Linked DNA regions of Xenopus tropicalis. The protein of the gene in region 2 interacts with the protein of the main gene of each other region in a pairwise test. Links are inferred from orthologs where the notes say so. Each region holds a gene or a part of one and is shown on either strand. Other genes may lie near its edges.

Evidence for each region.
Region 1: the proteins of khdrbs3 (region 2) and inpp5d interact in binary tests that used the Homo sapiens proteins (3 or more experiments, as listed by UniProt). The two-hybrid records come from large-scale screens. The link is inferred for Xenopus tropicalis from reciprocal best matches to the Homo sapiens genes KHDRBS3 and INPP5D.
Region 3: the proteins of khdrbs3 (region 2) and bahd1 interact in binary tests that used the Homo sapiens proteins (3 or more experiments, as listed by UniProt). The two-hybrid records come from large-scale screens. The link is inferred for Xenopus tropicalis from reciprocal best matches to the Homo sapiens genes KHDRBS3 and BAHD1.

What each region holds. Positions count from the first base shown.
Region 1 is NC_030681.2:126,699,982-126,703,634, reverse strand, and holds part of inpp5d (phosphatidylinositol 3,4,5-trisphosphate 5-phosphatase 1), read right to left. Parts: intron 2,375-3,653; coding exon 2,278-2,374; intron 1,580-2,277; coding exon 1,441-1,579; intron 445-1,440; coding exon 336-444; intron 1-335. UniProt on the Homo sapiens protein: Phosphatidylinositol (PtdIns) phosphatase that specifically hydrolyzes the 5-phosphate of phosphatidylinositol-3,4,5-trisphosphate (PtdIns(3,4,5)P3) to produce PtdIns(3,4)P2, thereby negatively regulating the PI3K (phosphoinositide 3-kinase) pathways.
Region 2 is NC_030682.2:144,623,580-144,627,658, reverse strand, and holds the start of khdrbs3 (KH domain-containing, RNA-binding, signal transduction-associated protein 3), read right to left. Parts: upstream 2,881-4,079; 5' UTR 2,638-2,880; coding exon 2,553-2,637; intron 1-2,552. UniProt on the Homo sapiens protein: RNA-binding protein that plays a role in the regulation of alternative splicing and influences mRNA splice site selection and exon inclusion. Binds preferentially to the 5'-[AU]UAAA-3' motif in vitro.
Region 3 is NC_030684.2:114,752,140-114,755,792, reverse strand, and holds part of bahd1 (bromo adjacent homology domain-containing 1 protein), read right to left. Parts: intron 842-3,653; 5' UTR 742-841; coding exon 1-741.

The DNA.
Region 1 (3,653 bases), on a different chromosome or scaffold from region 2:
GCCAGTTGGACAGCACTGCTCTAAATCATGTCAGTTGTAATGTGTGGTGCTGGCTCCTTCTGAAAGCTCAGACTCAGGCACAATGCACTGAGATGGCGCAAACACACCAATATTACAGCTAAAAAAAATAGATTTGTTTGTTCAAGAATGAAATTTTAAATTGTAGAGTGAACAGTGTAATTTAGACACCATAAAATCAAGATAGAATCGCTTTAAGATCCTATGTGCTTATATATGGGTCAATAATGAGCTTCCACTTACATCCATCTCCCAGTTAAACATTGGCAAGATACCTGCATACCTGCATCTGATATAGTATGTGTCAACTAACTTACCGAACTGAAAAAATATCAGGTTCTCCTTTCGCTCCAAATTCAGCTGGTCATGGGCAAGCAGCTCCTGATACTGCTGCTGTTTGATCTTCTGGATTATGTTCTCAGCTTCCTGTTCAACATGCAAGTTATAATACATACTATAATATAAAAGTCCAGTAACTACTATAAGAAGGAATGAAGGAAAATTATGCAGTAAAAGGAAGGGAATGTGAGGAAAGAAAATGGAGCACAGAGCATGTGCAGGAAATCAGCAGAAAAGAAGATGGGGAGCTACTGGGGCATTTTGGGGGCACAGATCTTCCCTGCTAAAGGGCTGTGGTTGCCTTGGGCTGGTACAGAAGCCCAAAACATATGATGTAACATATCTAGACTAATTCTATGTTGACCTTTAGTTATCCTAGAGGGGATATGCCCATCATATTTTTTCAATTCATTGTCAAGATAACTATCACTGAGGCAGCACATGAATGATGTGCAGACCTTCTTCTGCTCTTGTTCACTGAATAAGTATCGTACCAGCCACTTGTATCAAAGATATGCAATTGAAGCCAAATGGAAGAGGCTTGTGCAGGAGCATATCCTGCCTACACTTCCTTCTTCAGCTTCTTTCACACTGACACAGATAGGGGTTGGAGATGGTAATGGTTCAAGGGTAAATATCTTGATTTAAAAAAAAAAAAGACCAACTGAGAAAATGTTTCTTGCGACAGAAGCTGTTCATATTTGGACACTTGTCCAAAGGTGAACATTTAGCTTGAACTGCAGCTTTAAAAAGAAAAATAAGGTGGTGCCACAGGTAACAAAAAACAAACAAACATGGGTACTGGTCTGATTTCAATGGGATGCCAAAAGAGGCTGTCAGTGAAACCCTCCATCCTAATTCCCTAGGGCCTCTTTTTAGAAATACCACAAATCTATAGGAGCTAGTCAGCAGGAACAGGGTCGGACTGGGCAAGCATGTCATGGGAAAAAACCCAGTGGGCCACACCGACCCAGACCTGATTGTGGCAAAGTAAGTCTGTGGCCTTAATGATGTATGCAACTTTCACTTTACAAAAGACCATTCCAGCAATTCTAATTCAGAACCACCCCTGCAGCTGCTTACAGTGTTAGGAAGTTGTAAACGGTAGTTTAGATCCCCGAGCCAGAAAAGATGAGTAAATCGGTGTGTGAGGTTGAACGGGCTGAGCTTCTTATCCCCCAGTATCAGAAACCGCAGGATGTTGAAGTAATTCTGATTCCTCCTAAATGAACGAGCGAGCAAAGAAGACACGTTAGGAAGTTGTAAATAATAAGTTTGATCTCCGAGCCAGAAAAGATGGGCAAATCAATGTGTGTGGTTAAATAGGATGAGCTGCTTATCCCCTTAGGCTAGAAACCACAGGACATTAAAGTCATTTCTGATTTATTTTGAATGAAGAAGGAAGCAAAGCACACACACATGTATAGCATAACTATACAGGCATCAGCCACAGTAATAATTTACTGTTATACTGTACATTGGAAAGAGCATCTATGCACTAAAAGACCCAGCATTTAACATGAGCTTCATCTTGTGGAAATAATAACGCTTTAAATATAGTGAATTAAGGGAAATGTAAACCCTGACAACAAATTAGTGTAAAATATTCATAAAGCTCCTCTAAGCACTTTTGCAGTCTACATCCATTTTCTAGTTTTCAAGATATCAGCAACTTTTCAACTTCTAAAATAATGAATTTGAATCAGCAGCACCACCTGCTGGTCATTTTGGCTAATAAGCTCCAGTCAGCTGAAAATGTATTTCCTGAGGAGATAAACACTGTAACAATGTGTGTAGCAAATTTATTATACTGGCTGTTTAAAACTGCTAACAATCTAAGGTTCCCATAACAGCAATACTGTATTACGTAAGGAGCCTTTCAGGCTGTGAAAACCTCCAAAGCCAATACCTGCGACATACCTGAGTTTCTTTTCACTCCCAGATGTAAGATGACTGTTTATAAAGCCAAACGATGTTCCATTAAACATGAAAGCGGCACCAACTGCACCTTTATTTCCTAAATAAAAGAGAAACAGTTCTGTTTATTTTCTTTTGTTTTTATTTTGCCTGTTCTAGCTTAATGATAGGAACTGACAAGTTCCTATCAGTTAAGCTCTGTGTGTTGTGTTGCCCAATCCACTCCAGCCCAGAGATTCACTGAAGGTCTGACACTTAACATGCTGAACTGTGCAGGCCAGGAAGAACCATAGTTGTCAATTACACTTGGCTGAGCTGCACACAATCCTCCTATAGGCTGCTACTGTTTACCTTTCTACTCCACTTATAGTAGGATCATGCCACCTCCAATCCAGTTTGCTAAATCTATGCATACTGGACATCAAACTGCTCAGTAGGCCCATGGCGTTTATATTTAGGATGTTTTTTCTTGGTACCTAATGCTTTGTGGGAGATAAGGTGCTTGAAAGCAGAAGCATTGAGGCGATTTTTTTTTTTTTTTTATAGAAACTGCTAAGTTCAGAAAAGCATTGCTGTTTGGTACTTAGGAGTAGAGTGACATACAGCAGAATATGTATGTTTCTGGGGATAAACCTAAAGTTTTTTTGGAATGTAAAGTATGCCATATTCTGCTGTAGTGCTTTGAAATTTCGGTAATTTACTGCTGGGAGTTTTGATCTGTAGAAATCAGAAATCTCTGTAAAGGTGGGCATACATGTTCAGATTTTAGTCTTCTTCTGAAAAAATATTGGAATATCGATTGTACGTTCAACAATCTAAAACTAACTTTCAGACTGAAATTGTAGGATAAAGCCCAAAAAATACAAATCGGAGGATGTTCTGAACATGAAATAGTTGGCAGACACCAATCGTACAAAAGTGACTTCCATGGTACGTCCCCCAAGGACTTCGTCCAATACACATTTGCAGATTTTATCATTATCCGACTTAAATTTTGAAACCTGGCGGATTGTCTAAACAACTCATCACCTCATGGTACGAAAATTAGCGGTGACGATAATTCTGAGGCCAGAAACAGCCTATTTAGAGCTCTACATCTTGTTCCAGAAGTGGAAATACACAAAAACACGCAGCGTTAGAAAGCTCAGGTTCTCCTGAAAAAAATGATATATAGTTTTCCTAAGTAAATAATATCTCATGGGTTTCGATAACAATAATGTGTGCCAGTGGTTCTTGAACTCAAACAAAAAGGCTTTATTAACTTGATCCACACAGACGTACTTGAATATCAATAAAGCCAGATATATACATTGTGCAGGTGTATGGTATATACTCACAGTTATACCTTCACCTATACCTGCCCCTCAGGTTCAATCAAT
Region 2 (4,079 bases):
TCATAAAATTTGCTCTTTGTACTTGGGAGACGTCTCGCTTTGATCGGATGAGGAGCAATTAAATCTTATTCAACAGGATTCCTTTCCCGGGGCTGCATGTTGTCCTACCCTGAGGATTCCTATACTGAAACCAGGGTAAAAATAAAGCGATGACAATACCTTGGGGTGGGCTCTCTTCCACCGAAATAGAGAGATGGAGACTGCTCTGTAGGTGTGACTGCCACGGTCTCTTAGAGAGAGACGGAGAATGCTATATATGTGGCACCTATTGTGAGATACAGCGGATCTCAATAGAATTAACATGAGGGAAACAGCTGGCGTTGGATCTTCCCAGAGGGACTCGGGGCGAGCTACAATATGCTATAGATACATTAGAAGGTGGAGTGAGTGTAGTTTTAGAACGCAGCCCCCCACCACCACCAAGAGCATTCTAAGTACAAGACCCCCAGAGGGAGCTATAGTAGTTCAAATCCATAGCTTCCCCCTAGAACAGGTAATGACAGATTTAGGTCAGGTACCAATACCACAATGTGATTTTTTTGCATTTCAGAGACGTTATCCTATGTACCCACCCCAACCAGAGTGAAAGCAGAGCCTGGAAACATATTACCCCCCCACCCTCTCCAAAAGAGCAATTTAGATTTCAAGATTCCAGTCCTTCTACCCAATCCCATCACTAAGTTTAGCCAAGGGGTTGCTCTTAAAACAAAAAGACTTTCTAGATATAATCCTGGCCATCAAGAAGAGAGAGCCCCCCCTGCCCCAAGCATTGTGATTTTTGGAAGAGGTTGAGAGATGAGTTCCCTAGAGAGGATAAGGTTATAGGGGAGCTTTAGGGAGCGCAGTCCCCGGAGTATGAGCAGCTTTGACTTGAGGGTAGAGGTAAAATCCTTGGGTGGTATTGTACATTGGGGGGTGAATTCTTAGTATAAAGGGCTTGGGGGTTCTTAACATGACTGTTTGGGAAGCTGAGGGACATGTTCCATAGGAGGTTGTTAAGGTGAATGTGCTTTGGAGAATGAACATTGATTTACCTTATTCTTCAGAGATGGATGGATAGGTAGATTAGATAGATAGATAGATAGATAGATAGATAGATAGATAGATAGATAGATAGATAGATAGATAGATGGATAGATGATGGTGAGGGTACTTTACTGAGTAGGACCAATTTTAGGAGAGGAGGAAGAGATGATATGTCTCAGGGAAGCACTTCCAGTGAATGAGTTCCCTTGGGGGGGCAGTAGAGTACAAGGAGGCTGTCCCTGGGCAGAGGGTAGGAATGAATGTACCCCAGTGGGGCAGTTCCAGTGCATGAGTTCCCATGGGGGGCAGTAGAGTACAGGGGGTTTGTCCCTGGGCAGAGGGTAGGAATGAATGTATCCTAGTGGGGCAGTTTCAGTGAATTAATTCCCTTTGGGGGGGCAGTAGAGTACAAGGAGGCTGTCCCTGGGCAGAGGGTAGGAATGAATGTACCCCAGTGGGGCAGTTCCAGTGCATGAGTTCCCTTGGGGGGGCAGTAGAGTACAGGGGGGCTGTCCCTGGGCAGAGGGCAGGAATGAATGTACCCCAGCGGGGCAGTTTCAGTGCATGAGTTCCCTTGGGGGGCAGTAGAGTACAGGGGGGCTGTCCCAAGGCAGATGGTAGGAATGAATGTACCCCAGTGGGGCAGTTCCAGTGCATGAGTTCCCTTGGGGGGGGGGTAATAAAGTACTGGGGAGCTGTCCCTGGGCAGAGGGCAGGAATGAATGTACCCCAGTGGGGCAGTGACAGTGCATGAGTTCCCATGGGGGGGCAGTAGAGTACAGGGGGGCTGTCCCAAGGCAGATGGTAGGAATGAATGTACCCCAGTGGGGCAGTTCCAGTGCATGAGTTCCCATGGGGGGGCAGTAGAGTACAGGGGGGCTGTTCCTGGGCAGAGGGCAGGAATGAATGTACCCCAGCGGGGCAGTTCCAGTGCATGAGTTCCCATGGGGGGGCAGTAGAGTACAGGGGGGCTGTTCCTGGGCAGAGGGCAGGAATGAATGTACCCCAGTGGGGCAGTTCCAGTGCATGAGTTCCCATGGGGGGGCAGTAGAGTACAGGGGGGCTGTTCCTGGGCAGAGGGCAGGAATGAATGTACCCCAGTGGGGCAGTTCCAGTGCATGAGTTCCCATGGGGGGGCAGTAGAGTACAGGGGGGCTGTTCCTGGGCAGAGGGTAGGAATGAATGTACCCCAGCGGGGCAGTTCCAGTGCATGAGTTCCCATGGGGGGGGCAGTAGAGTACAGGGGGGCTGTTCCTGGGCAGAGGGTAGGAATGAATGTACCCCAGTGGGGCAGTTACAGTGCATGAGTTCCCTTGGGGGGGCAGTAGAGTACAGGGGGGCTGTTCCTGGGCAGAGGGTAGGAATGAATGTACCCCAGTGGGGCAGTTCCAGTAAAATATACCCGGGGGGGGAATCGCACTGCATTCTGTACCCCACAGGATAAATATACCCCAGAGGTCACCCCCAGTGCAAGTGTCCCCCATAATATAACAATATAATACCCCGGGGGGGGCAATAGTTCCTACCTTCCTTCACCATCCTGAGTGCGTGAGTGAATGACGGATCCAGCGCGTCCTTCTCAGCCAGGAGCTGCGGGAGATACTTCTCCATACGGGGGTAGGGGGGTTAATACTCCGGAGAATCCAGCGGGAATCCGAGGGCCAGTCCGGGCGACCCAAAGGGGTTGGAAATAGTCCGCGGCAGGGGCAATAGAGCAGCCCGTAGGGATCCCTGTCAGAGCGAAGTTCCGCCACAGAGAGTCACTGTCACTGCCCTCCCCGTACCCACAGCGTGCGGCTCCCACACAGCCTCCTCTCAGCCCGCCCGGCTCCGACTGACCCAGCAGCCCACTCACGTCTCCTTAAAAACAAACGGCTGCGCCAACCCACCGCTTCCCTCCCTTGGGCGGGGAACAAGCAAATTCCTCCGCCAACCCCGCCCATACACACGCCCCTTGTCTGTTCCCAACCAATGGTGGGAAGGAGTAAGTGACAGGCTCATTAATATTTAGCGAGTCTCCCCGTTGGTCGCTGTCTGTGGTGCTGAATGGGCGGAGCTGGGACTGACTGAATGGGCGGGGCTGGGACAGTGCGGGAGGGGCCGGGAGTACGTTACTGAGCCGCTGTGGGTGCGGAGCCCAAGCCGGGGCCCCTGCGATGTTCTGCTGCAGTCGGTACCGAACTCTCCCACATACAGTCCCGTTACCCGTTATACCGCTACCCTATGTCTTCCTTCCACTGCCCGGATAGGAACTAACCCCCCCTGTACCTTCTGCCCCAATTCTACTCTAATGCCTGATACCCACAGCCAATCCTCACACAATCTCAGTTCCCATGTTACCCCACTACTAACCCCCTGCTTCCCCATAGAACCCCCTGCCCCCCCCCAAATTACTGCCCCCATAGTACCTTCTTCAACTCTCTACCAAACTACAGACCCCCCAACTATTCCTACATCCCTGTCTCCTACACAAAGGGCACCCTCCCTGAATATCTGCCCCCATATAACCAATACACCCCTAAATCTCTACCAAACTACAGACCCCCCAACCCTCCCTACATCCCTGTCTCCTACACAAAGGGCACCCTCCCTGAATATCTGCCCCCATATAACCAATACACCCCTAAATCTCTACCAAACTACAGACCCCCCAACTATTCCTACATCCCTGTCTCCTACACAAAGGGCACCCTCCCTGAATATCTGCCCCCATATAACCAATACACCCCTAAATCTCTACCAAATTGTGGGACCCCCCCAACCTATCATAAATCCCTGTCTCCTACACAAAGGGCACCCTCAACTAATTTCTGCCCCCATATAACCAATACACCCCTAAATCTCTACCAAATTGTGGGACCCCCCCAACCTATCATAAATCCCTGTCTCCTACACAAAGGGCACCCTCAACTAATTTCTGCCCCCATATAACCAATACACCCCTAAATCTCTACCAAATTGTGGGACCCCCCCAACCTATCATAAATCACTGTCTCCTACACAAAGGGCACCCTCAACTAATTTCTGCCCCCATATAACCAATACACCCCTAA
Region 3 (3,653 bases), on a different chromosome or scaffold from region 2:
ATCTGATTTGCTCCTCTGCTTTAGAGGATGGTCTCTCTCACTTGTGAGCTTTAAGAATGCCACAGCATTAAGGCTCGCTAGTCTTTTTGGAGCAGGAGAATAGGAGACCACTTTATCCTCCACCTTCATTTCGCTTTCAAATACTTCATCAGGTAACTGGCCGGATGCCATGCATCTCTGTCTGCTCCTTTTGCTGTGCAGGTGACAGTTTGGCTTTAAGTTAGTCCAACCTTCATCTGATATGCCATTTTCACTAGCTTTTCCAAAATCCTTTCTAATCTTACGAGAACACCCATCATCTCTTTCAAATAACAAGTTATTGACCGCTTCTGCATTCAGAGAAGCTAGTCTTCGCTTCCGGGGCTCGGGAAAATCACGGATATTATCCATGCTGGACGTGACCCCAGAGTATCTCTTCCCTTTTGGAGTAACCCTTTGCATTTTGGAAGAATGCCCAGTATGAACCTTCAGTGTGCCAAAGTCATCCACCCAACAAGAGATATTTGGTTGGGCCCCACTTTGACCCTCCATAATACATGACCCAGCAACATCCTCCAGTCTGGTAAGGACAACAGTACATGTCTTTTCATTCATGGCTGGTGACAGCCGTCTCCGCAGTGGGTATGCTTTCCGTATATCCTTGCTTAATATTCCTCTGCCCACGCTGGAAATCCTTGACTGGCAAGCTATGTCTTTAAAAGCTCTTTGACCTGTGCAACCTGCTTGGGTGGTATCCATCATAAAATCTGCTGTCCACACCACTTAGGTCTGCACGTCTAGAAGCTCTTTTTCAGTAGAAAATATAATGCTCCTTTTCAAACATGATGACAGCTGTGTGTACCTGTAGAAAAAAAAGACAAAATAATCAATTGCAGATACAAATAGAAAATGTCCCACCGTAAACTACTATTTGAATGTATTTATGTATGTAATGTACTTTCTACATGTAAGTCCTCAATTTGCTTTCCACAACCAACAAATTAAAACCTTTTAGGCAAGGAACGTAGCACTACAAAAATAAATAACTTAAACAGATGCAATTAATAGTAATCACTAGTATTTATATGCACTGCCATGTTGCTCTAATTCTAAGGACTTGCTAGATTCCCAGTTTGGGGTCAGGAAAAAACTTCTCTTCTTTCTGAAGTAGTATGGGGTGGCTATGAATGCTTGTTCTTATCCCCCTTCTTTTGTATCAAATGCAAGTTAAATGGGTAGTTCAACATAAAGTTAACCTTTACTATGTTATGGAATGGCCTATTCCTAGCACATCTGCAAGTGCTCTTTATTTTTTAGAGTTTAAAGGGGTAGTTCACCGTCATGTTAACTTTTAATATGTTATAAAATTACCAACCGTTATCATCTTTGAAAACTGTTCTTTGTTTTTTATTGTTTCTGAATTATTTTTATTCATCTTCTAATTCTTTCCAGCTTTCAAATGGGGGCCACTGACCCTGGCAGCCTATAAATTATTGCCCTGTGAGGCTACAATTTTATTTTTATTGTCATTTTTCGTTACATAACTTTTTAATTGAGACCCTCTCCACTCATATTCCACTTTCTCATTCAACCACTGCCTGGTTGCTAAGGTAACTTGGACTCTAGCAACCAGACAGCTGCTCAAATTCCAAACAGGAGAGCTGCTGAATAAAAACCCACAAATAATAAAAAATGAAGAGCAAATGCAAATTGTCTCAAAGGAGCACTCTCTGCTCTCTCTAGCAACCAGATAACTGCTAAAGAGCTACAGAAAAAAATCAGATATCAATACCACTGTGAACTACCCTTTGTAAGAAAAAATGTTTTTTGCATTTGCTCTATTAGTCTGTTCTTCGAAAAGCTTGGGGAAACATTAATCTATTATACATAAAAGCCATAGGTATCCTGTAAAGTATATCCTCATAAATGGTGCTTATTAACGTCATTGGTTATTACTGGTGCCTAGTGAGGCGAGCGTTAAATAATTAATGTGTAACTATATGAAATCTGAATGTGACAAAAAAGAACAGCATTATGAAGATTTGAGTGAAAAATAAAATAATGGTTCCTTTAATGCAGCTCTGCGGATTTAACAGCGTATAATTTTATATAGAGCAACATGTACTTCGCTGTTCAGATTCTATCAAAAACACATGTTTATGAGTTTAGTCCGGGGCAGGATCAGCTGAATAAATGCACAGGCAGGTTGAACCCTAGCACAGGGCTAGTAAAACCATTAACCCCTGGTGGGAGGGCTGCCCTGCCATATTACGGATGGCTTTGGCAGCAACGGGATGAAGTGCTGTCTTTAATTCTCCTCTAAGAGTTTGCTAATGTGCTGAGAAAACAAACAAATCTGACGGAGGCTCCACAGCAATGCATAACCTATTTAATTACAGCTGGAAGGAACTTCTCGGAGAAAATCAAAGAGGCAATGAGACTTTAATGAAGAATTTGAGATGAGCCATCTCAGTGATGTAGTGTGTGCGAGCGGAACCCCAGCATCACCTCTCTAGGAATCCCATCTGCATCAATGCGCTGCTAGGGGCACAAGACTGGCAGCAGTGTGTGTGTTGATTAAAGCGGCTGGTAGCAGCCTCCGATTGCCAGACAACATGCGGCGTGTTACTTACATTCCCCTGGTGCTTACGTTTAACCCGCCCTCTGCCTCGTGTGGTTAGTGAAGGCACGGTGAGCATTCTTGTGATTCCTCCCCTCCCTTCTGTTGTGAATTCCCTGGAAAGTCGGCGTGACTAAGAGAAGGAATTACAGAGCTCTCGGAAAAAACACTGACGGCTCTGCTTTCCCAGCCTCCGCCGCCTGTCACAATGCGCTGCCCTACGGTAGTTTTCTGTGCTGTCACTGTGACGACACCCTATAATGGCAACATTAACTCAGTGTAATGGCAGAACCTTCCAGGCAATGCAACCAAGTGGCTTTTTGGCTCGTTAAGCTGCCCATACACTTTAACATTTTACTATGCCTAACGACCAATTTTAATGTGATCCGAAAAATCCATCAAATTATCGTAGAGTTAATGGGCACCAAACAATCGTACATCTAGAGATTTTTATCCAACATCTGTCTGAGCAGGTTAACAATAGAATTTGCCCATTGTCTAATTGTTTGCAGAACCAAACAGGCAGTTTTCCTAGCTTCAGGTACAGAATATGGTCGAAAATGGTCGTTTTTGTTGATGGACAAATTGTACTTTTAAAGGGCTGTGGCACATGGGGAAATTAGTCGCCCGCGACAAATCTCCCGTGTCGCGGGCGACTAATCTCCCCAAAATGCCATCCCACCAGCGAGAATGTAAATCGCCGGTGGGATGGCATACGTGGCGCCGCGATTTCCCTTAAATCGTGGAAGTTGCCTTGAGAGGAAACTTCAGCGATTTTGGGGAAATCTCAGTACCGCATATGCCATCCCACCGGCGATTTACATTCTTGCCGGTGGGATGGCATTTCGGGGAGATTAGTCACCCGCAACGGGAGACTTGTTACGGGCGACTAATGTCCCCGTGTGCCACAGCCCTATTGATCGTTTTAGGATAAGCTTGGTCCTATGATAATGAAAAGATCTTTTAAAAACCTCTGGCCAGCTTTACCTATAGCACCCAATCAGATGTTTGCTTTCATTTTTCAAACTGAACGAGACCCACAAAAGAGTATTGC